Canis lupus familiaris: one gene and its partner. The protein of the gene in region 1 interacts with the protein of each later gene in a pairwise test. Links are inferred from orthologs where the notes say so. Each region holds a gene or a part of one and is shown on either strand. Other genes may lie near its edges.

Region 1 (4,564 bases):
CCTTGCACATGGGAGATAACGTGAGAAACCCGTGTTGGATGAAGAGTGAAGAGTGCTTCTGTGATGTGGGAAAAGGGAGGGAGCTCCTGGCAACTTCCCCACTGGCACTTTATCCATCACTCCATAAGGATACACATCTTCTGTCCTGGCCTTCCCACAAGTTCCCCTTCTCATTTGTTCCAGAGGTTATAACAAATGTGCCATTTGAAGCTATTCTTTTTTCAATAATTTCTAATTTGGCATTGAAAAGCCAGTCACTGGCTCGGCCCCAAGTGAGGAGATGATGTGGCTTAATTTAGTAGCTAAATTTCCAGTGCCACTGATAAGGCCCCCCATCCTGCCATAACTGCCCAGAATTTCCCAAATCTGGCTGCTTATCAGACAGAGAGTGATTATAAAACTTGGTGAGCACCTTTCGCCTTGATGGATCTATATTTAGAATAACAACACAATTTACTGTGTGCCAGCAAGCTGGGCACGGTGCTGGGTGCTAGGCATTTTGTATTTACACATACTGCAAAGTGGTGTGGGACCTATTTTTCTTTCCTGATGAAGAAACTGCAGCCCTGAAAGGTGAAGGGACTTTCTCAGGGTCACCAGCACCACGGAATAGGAGTGTTGGGATTTAATACAGCTCTGTCTACACTGTCGGGCCAGCTGTGAGGTCTATGTCAATTTGACGTAGATTTTTGTTCCAACTGATGAAAAAACTCCACTCAAAACATTCTGAAGGTGATGCTCATGGATAGAAGGATATAATTACTGTTTTTACTCATTTTCTTTACAATAGAACATTATTTTTTTTAATTTAAAAGGAAGTCTGTTTTATGAGATGATTATGGAACAGACTAGTTCTAGCAGGTTTAAGTGAGAACACCCTGATTTCCAACAGCTAATGAATAAATGTTGGCGTAACTGGATTCCAAATTGTGTTTGAAGTGGCTTATTGCTTACTAGAGGCCGAGAACACAGGCTGAGGTGCCAGTCTGAGAGGTGTACCGGTCCTACTTATCAGATGAAGTCATTTGGAAGCATAATTAGAGGTTCATTTATGTAAGTGTCTTAGCCTTTAGAAGGCTCTTCTAGAATACCTGAATAATCTAAAAGAGTGGTTCTTTAATGGTGCAATTTAAATCCTAGGAGACATTTCACAGTATCTTGGGTCATTTCTTTTTTTTTTTTCTTTTTTTCTTGGGTCATTTCTGACTATAAAGACTCAGGGGACAGGACATGTATTTCTGGCATCTAGTGGGTGGAGGCAGGGATGCTGCTCATCATCCTATAAGCACAACACACACCCCACAACAAAGAATTATCTGGCCCCAAATATCAATAAAGCCCAGGTTGTAAAACACAGCCACAGCTGAATGGCCTTTGTTCTGTTCATTTCAATCTCTACGATTTTTCCCAAATGTCTCCCACACGCTAGATGCTATGCTAGCATTAGAAGAAGTAGACGGGTGATTAGGACATATGTCCTGTCCTCAAAGAACTGAAACTTCCCTTTTATTTATAGCTGGCATGCAAGTCCATTGAAAGAGAGACACTTGCTTTCAAAAGATGCTTGCTTATTTATGCATGGCTCTCATTCCCCCAGCATTTCATTTTTTATTCATTATTTTTCACTGAAACCCTGTGACGTGGAGCTAATAGAGATGCCCTCATATGGAGATCACATGGCCTGAGTAGAAGTAGGTTGTTTATACACATAAAAGGCATTCATTTTCATAACTGCCTTCTGAACCTGGATGAAATAACACCACCTAATTGTGTTAACATTAGATTTTTTGACAATTCTCACTATTGGCCAAGCAGTGATCCCTATCATCTGTGACAGTAATGAAAACGCCAAACTCATTGTTCCATGAGACTTTTGCTTTTCCCTATCAATTGTCAAAGGCATGGGCTGAATTACCAGTCACTTTTCTGAGCATATGTGTGCTCAAGTGTATCTAGATTCTGATTGGCTGCATGGTCATGGCTTTTTGGATGCTTACAGTAGAAAAGTGATCTGGAAAGAATCACTGAGTGCCTGAACTAGAAGGAAGTACACTCCTCATCATCCAAGCCAACTCAATGCATTTCACCCATGACACAGCTGGGGTTAAGAAAGTCACACACATGGCCAAAGACACAGCTTGTGGTAGAAGAGCAAAGGTTGGAACTCTGGTCCAGGGATTTGACACAGAACTATTCAATATGCATTCATAATGGTGACAAAAATACCTTAAAATTTGTGATGTATACAATGTTTCAGTACATGTACCACTGATCCTTGTAATCTCTCTTAGGCTAAGATAGATGAGGAAATTGAGGCTCACAAAAATGACTTGCCGATAGGCACAAAACTAGGAAGTGATAAATCTGCTCTCTAGGTTCCCAGTCTAGAGATTTCTGCTTCACTACCATTTTTTTCTCTTTGACGACCCAAAGCCCTGAGCCAAAATCTGGCTTCAACTAAACCAGCTGGATGAGATCTTATGGCTGCTCTTTCTTTCCCGTAAGTTTTCTCTTGATTTTAGTTTTCTACTCTAATTTTTGTCCTTATTTCCCAGACTTTTAAAATTCATATTCACTATTCATTTCCATTTCAACAAGCCGTACCAAAATCTGTGTCATAAGGAGGGATAATGAATGAATGGATGGATAGATGAGCAGATCAACAAAAACATTAGAAGCAGAGTGACTGGTAGGAAAATAACTACTCTCGTTGTCCTTGAACCTCACTCTCATTATTGGTCAGACAGGTCTAACAAAACCTGTAATAAGCATTGTTATGAGTATAAAAGTATGAAAACAATGGTTACGAGGTAGATATGTATAATTGGCACCTCATAACTGGTAGCTATTATTAGTAGTAGTCATATAAACCAAGATGCCTGCTGAATGTGAACTGAGATGAGTTCTGTGACTCCAGAAACAAGGCATCGCTCTCATTGGAGTTAGGTCTCCCAAGAAGGGCACTCACGTGAGTTGGTTGATGGTGTGGTAGAAGTCACAGGGGTCAAATTCAACTGGGAGATGTCAAAGTCGTCACAGTCATCTGTATCCTGTGCCACCCCGACTTTGTTGAAGTAACTGGAGAAGGCCTCTGAGGTACAGGTGAGGGAGGGTTGGTCGGGTTTGCGGGAGGGCACGGGTGGCGGCTGGGCCATCTGGAAATCCTTAAACATTTCTTTCCCCATTTTCTGTCTGGGCTTCTCGGTCTGTGGACTTGACCTGGTGGAGTCACCCGTGGTTGGGACGGTTGCAAGGGGGGTGAGGGGACCTTGGAACATGGCGGCTGGCAAAGGCATAACAGTTTGTGTGGGCATGAAGGCGGCTGGCGGAAACTGCCCGGCTACAGTTGGCCAGGGCTGCTGAGTGGCAGGGAAGAGACCCGGCTGGCCCCATGCGATGGGCTGAGCCCCCGGCATCACCTGAGCGACTGGTGGCTGAGCACCCATGGCGATCTGCTGTTGGACGAGGGGCTGCTGGCCCCAGAAGGATGGGAGGACGGCGCCCATTGCAACATAACCTGGAAGGGTGAGAAAGATGAGTCATGTACCCTGGGAAAGAATAATTCATGGATTCAGGTGATCGGCAGAAAGATACTGAGCAGTTGTTACGTTCCAGGCTCTGTGCTAGAGACCCGGGCCACAAAGATGAGTAAGATGAAAGTTCTGGCTTTCAATGGAGTGTTCCTTCCAGAGCCACGGTCTGGAGAAACCTAAGAAGGGGACTCATAAGCAAAACTAGAATGCAGTGAGCGAGCAAGCCGGGCAGGTGTTTGGGAGATAATGATAATATTGCTATAATTAAAGGTTTCTGACTCCACACAGCCTCAGGCGCTGGTGTGTCTCAGTGGAAAAGGTAGAGTACTAGACATCGGGTACATTTGGGTTTGAATCTTGCCTCCCCTTCTGGCTAGACCAAACACTTAAACTTTCTAAACCTCAAGCTCTTGGTTAGAAAGCCAGGTTATAAGATCTTCCTTTTCAGCATGGAAAACATGTGCTGAGGGAAGAAGAATCAGAGTATCGGGGATGTTGAGGTCTAGGTTAAAATTTGGAGTTCTTCTGCTTCTTATCTACGGAGTTTAGGGAGAGCTCCACAAGCTCTCTCGGGCTCTCTCTCCTCATCTGTGAAATGGGCAAAAAATACTGTCTGCCTCATGGGCTTGGTTTAAAGATAAATGGAGATGACGTTTTTGAGGTGGACTACTGCACCTGACACCAAGTATGCATTCAATAAATGTTAGCAATTAGTAGGATTTAAATCAGAGAAATCCTAGGAAGTACTTAATACCTTGCTTGATACATAGCAGCCATATAATAAGTGGTAGCTCCAGGTATTAGAACACATTATTTCTGCATTGTCATCATGCCAATTTTAGGGACTGTCTACTCAGGAGCACCTTGTACAGTGGCATAGGTTGGGGACGCCAAAACTCCGGAGGGTCTACTCACATATGTCACCATGTTAATTGTTGGCTGTACTAAGTCCTTTCAGGTGAGATATAACCATTTTAAAAGGCGAAGTGACACTTTTCACAGTATCAATAGTAACACAAATAATTTCCATG
Region 2 (4,564 bases), on another chromosome or scaffold:
TCGTTCAATCCTCTAATTTCATATATGTGGAAAATGAAGCTCAGAAGAGATGAGAAACTTGACCCAAGGCTACTCGCCTAATTAGCAAAAACACTAACACTAATTCTTGGGTTCCTGTTGTTCAACATTTTTGGTAGCCTCACATCAGGTGCTATAAATAAGTCATCAGTTCTTCCGAACAGAAGAACCAGAAGGCTGATAATCTATGGGATTTTTAATTTCCTTATGGCCTAACAATGTGCAGCAAAAAGAGAGAAAGAGGCGGCAAGAACAGTTGGCCAATATTTAAACAAATTTAAACTTTTTTCACCTTAAAAGGAACTCAGAATTCAAACATGTACTTCTGAGTCCCATGAGGACAAAGTAGAGATTTAAACCCAAATAACTCGACATGTGACCAACTGGCAAATAAGCGTGTGCACTTCTTGCCACACCATTTAAGTCCCAGTATGCTGTGCGATCAGCACCAGAGGAAAGAACCTGAAGATAGGAGTGTCTCAGATCTCAGGGCCGAGCAGAAAGACGGGCCCCTGAGCTTCCCACTGCAATATGCTAGCAGATTCTCACTGTGACACTAGAGCAGATCCTGTTAGCCAGAATGAGATAGGAAGCTGCCCTCCCACCAGCAAGCAGTTAGATAAGAGGAATTCGGGTTAAGAGGAAATGACAGTCATACAGCAGTAGCCACTTGTGAGCACAGCAGAAGACGACGGACAAAATACACAGAGGAGCTCCTCGCAGAAGAGAGAGAGAGAGAGAGAGAGAGAGAGAGAGAAAGAGAAAAGAAAGAAAAGAAAAAAGACAGAAACCCCAAACCAATGACAAAAGTACTCTAATTTTAATTAACCATTATACAAAATATAACCAATTACAGACTACCTCAAACTGTGGGAAGCTTCGTTTCTAAGAGTTCTGACCACACAGCTCAGCCTCGTAAGAGATTTCAATAGAGAGTTGTAAGCTTCCTAAATATCGTCTCCTGTTTAATAACTAATTCATCAAAGTTCATCTCAGGTTGCCTGTTGGGTCCCCTTCAGTCAACAATCATGCATTATGAACCCAGGGTGTGCTTCCAAAAGATCGGGGCAGGGGGAAGGTGAGTCACATATGAAGCATCCAGCAATTTTTAAATATTTACAATCTCCTAAACTTCCTCATAATTTATCTGCAAACAGCACTAGCTTGCTAATGAGCAAGTGCAACCGCACGATGACAAACCACCCACAAGTCGAAGTGCATCTCTAGCACACAGCAGTCCTTGGTCCACGGGGAGCGTGCAACTAGGTCTCAAAGTCCTTTCTGAGTTCTCCGCATGGTGCTCTCTTCATTAGCAGCTTTTCCCAAAATGTTCAGGAAGGTAAGAGCTCAAGCTAAACAAGCAAACAAACAGAAACCCTAAAGAATTTACCAGAAGCCAGAAATTCTTGCTTCCTCTCTGAACTGTCACCTGTGTGGGAATGAGTTATATAGGGTTTCAAAACGGAGTCCTAAGTTCATACCAGACTGGAACATCCTTCCTACGACCTCAAGTAAGTTTTGCCACAACTCTGCCCCTAAATCTATTGTCCTGGGAGATGGAGTGAATGACAGTGTCTTCCTCAGAAGATTGTCTTGAAGACTGACTATGTGCTGCATGAGATGGGTTGAGGCCGAGTTTGCTAGAAAGTCAATACCCAATAAACACCAACGACTGTTACTGCCATCAGAAAAGGTGGTGGCAGTTCTAGTTGCGCTGAACTCTGGGATCCTCTGCAATGCATGTAGTGAAGCCCTATAAAGAAGAAAGCGGTGCTTGCTCAGTAAATTCCTGCGCAACTGATAAATCATTAGTGTCAATTATGTTCATCACACAACAGCCTTATTTTGCCTTTTTCTCAGTCGTTACCAACATCCCAAACTTCTCAGCCCTAACTGTTGCCTCATCCTAACCGAGGGGAAAGAACAAAGAGTCATTTTGCTCCTCAGTTGGACACGAATGCCTGGTTTTAGAGCTTCCACGGACAGTAACGTTGCCGTGTTTTTCTTCAATCTACAGTTTACCGAATCCATTAATTCACAGCCACGCTGAAATTCGGAGCAACCACTTTGATACCAGAATGAGATCTTTCGCTTCTTTTTCATGCTGCAATAGCAAAGCACATCCATCTGATCATCCTTGACTCTAGAGCCCGATGCAGTTTCCAACTGAAAAACTTTCATCGGAGCACACTTCACCAGCGGAGCTGCCTTGCTATTCCAACCTAAATATTGTGAGGCCTGTGAGGAAATTTGCAATAATAAATTTTAAAATGCCTGATGCACTGTAACTGAGCAAACTGTTGTGAGAACAAGTGTCAGGGGAGGAAAAGAATTTGTTCTCAAAAGAAGCAACACGAACAACGCACATCCAGGGAGCATTTGCTGTGTGCCAGATGTCGGTCTAACGCTTTGAGGAAAGGGCCATTATTATGTCCATTTTGAGGATGAGGAATCAAAGATAAAACCAAGTTAAGGGGCAGCTGGGCCCCAAGGTCTGGGTCCCTAATCCCTGCTACACTATCCGGCTGCTGTGGCTTTTATCAACGTTCCATTTGTCAAATACAGCATACCTCCATACCTCCTCCTTTTGGAGCAAAAGGCTCCAAATAGTCAACCCAAATCTATACTTCAAATTTCTTTTTGGCCTTTATGGCCGTGGAAGAAATGAACCAACAGCACACTTTGAAACTCAGAATGGAGTCCATAGAGAAACCAGCTCATCATTCCTACCTCAAGTCTGTCTGTCCGCATTAACTTCTGTGCGGCAGCTGCAGCAGCTGCAGGTACAGGGACCCCGGGATTCCCTGTGACCAACATTGGTGCGGTCGGCAAGATCTCTGCTGGAACCAGGCTTGGGGACACAGGTCCCAGGTAGGGATTAAAGGCTGCTGATGCATTGGTGGCTAAGCTTGGTGCAACTGAAAACATTGGCTGGAAAAAAAAAATAAAAAGCAGAAGTTTAATATACAAGTCTTGGCTTGTATTTGATATCCCACATTATATATCTACCCTCCATCCATCCATCCATCATCCATTCTTCCTTCCGTCCCTCCCTCCCTTCTTTCATTTAATTCTGTTTATTTAATCTCACTCAGGCTAAGAATGTTTCTTAAATAAGTATTCATCAAGTCAATGTGTTTCTAAACTATAATAGGTGATTTACTCGTTCAATTAGCTGCTGGGATTTTGAAACCCGGTGTCTATAATGCTTATAATTTCTTTTTGAATAACAGATCGCTTATTCAATGCAGTCATTGCTTGTGGTCATCTAATCTCCATTTTTGTCCTGATTTAATCCTGGAAACTTATCTGAGAAACACATTTTATAATTGCTATGTCAGATGAACTTGAAAGATCTGTTTACAACTGTTAATGGGTTGCAAGTGTCCTATTATCTGGAATAAATAAAGCAGAACTCCCAGTGGGCAACAGAGTTTCGCAGTCAATATAAACTGTGAATAAATCTCAGGGGATATGTGAAAAGACGATGATGACACAATTTCTTTTGAACACATAAGGTAAAGCGTTTGGCATATTCACTTGTGCGTTTTCCTAAAGAAACTATCAATATCGCACCAGCTTATCACACCCTCGTGAAATACTTAACAAAAAATTTACCTTACTAGGGAGAAACCACCCCAAATGTGAAGCCTGAAACAGAAAACTTCGAAACACATGCTACATGCTTTTGCAAGGAAATACACGTGGTGGCACCGAAAAAAAAGTCACAAGATCGAATTTCTGCCAGAAATGCTTTCATGGATATAGGAGGATGGTTCCTACCTGGGACACGAAGATTTGTGTAACGGGAAATGTATTTGTTCCTGAGTAGAACTAAATGGGACACGAAGATTTGTGTAACGGGAAATGTATTTGTTCCTGAGTAGAACTAAATTATTTACCTGAAAGCTACTTTGGCAATTTGCTTTTCCCATTTTTTTTAAAGCATAACGTAGCACAACAATCTGCCACCTTATGGGTGGTATATTTTTAACTTCCATCATTCAATAGGGTTTCATTCAATTCTTGAAGCCTAAGATTTTGTGCAATAATAGTGTTTGTCTCCAAAACCCACAAAGTCCTGGGCAAAATGAATCCTGTTCTTTAAAGGACTTTTTAACAATCAATTTTCTTTATTACCCTGTGATAAGGAACAGAATCACAGAAACCTTTTTAGACTGAAGGGAACATCAGTGTTGTAGCTAATTCTTCTCTCTTACAGAAATAAGAAGTTGGACGAACCCTGAGCTGACACAGTATTCAAGAGAGTTTTAGAATAAAGTTTTATGCAATTAAGATGTAACCGCAATTCTTAAGAGCTCAAAAGAAATAGCTTTAAAAAAAATAAAATGTGTTCTTATTTAGTATGGCCCTGCCTTGTCCTGTATTTAGAAGAGTAAAACGGAATTCAAGTATTCTTGTTCTCAAGTAGGTAGGGCACGTGTGGCAATGTCTGGAGACATTTTTGACTGTCACAGCTTGGGGGTGCTCTTGCATCTAATGCATAGAGAGGCCAGGGATGCTGCTAAGTGGCCTGCAACACCCA

The links.
Region 2: the proteins of DAB1 (region 1) and MBNL1 interact in binary tests that used the Homo sapiens proteins (3 or more experiments, as listed by UniProt). The link is inferred for Canis lupus familiaris from reciprocal best matches to the Homo sapiens genes DAB1 and MBNL1.

Annotation. Positions count from the first base shown.
Region 1 is NC_049226.1:52,847,865-52,852,428, reverse strand, and holds part of DAB1 (disabled homolog 1), read right to left. Parts: intron 3,518-4,564; coding exon 2,969-3,517; intron 1-2,968. UniProt on the Homo sapiens protein: Signaling adapter of the reelin-mediated signaling pathway, which regulates the migration and differentiation of postmitotic neurons during brain development.
Region 2 is NC_049244.1:47,458,099-47,462,662, reverse strand, and holds part of MBNL1 (muscleblind-like protein 1), read right to left. Parts: intron 2,950-4,564; coding exon 2,749-2,949; intron 1-2,748. UniProt on the Homo sapiens protein: Mediates pre-mRNA alternative splicing regulation. Acts either as activator or repressor of splicing on specific pre-mRNA targets. Inhibits cardiac troponin-T (TNNT2) pre-mRNA exon inclusion but induces insulin receptor (IR) pre-mRNA exon inclusion in muscle.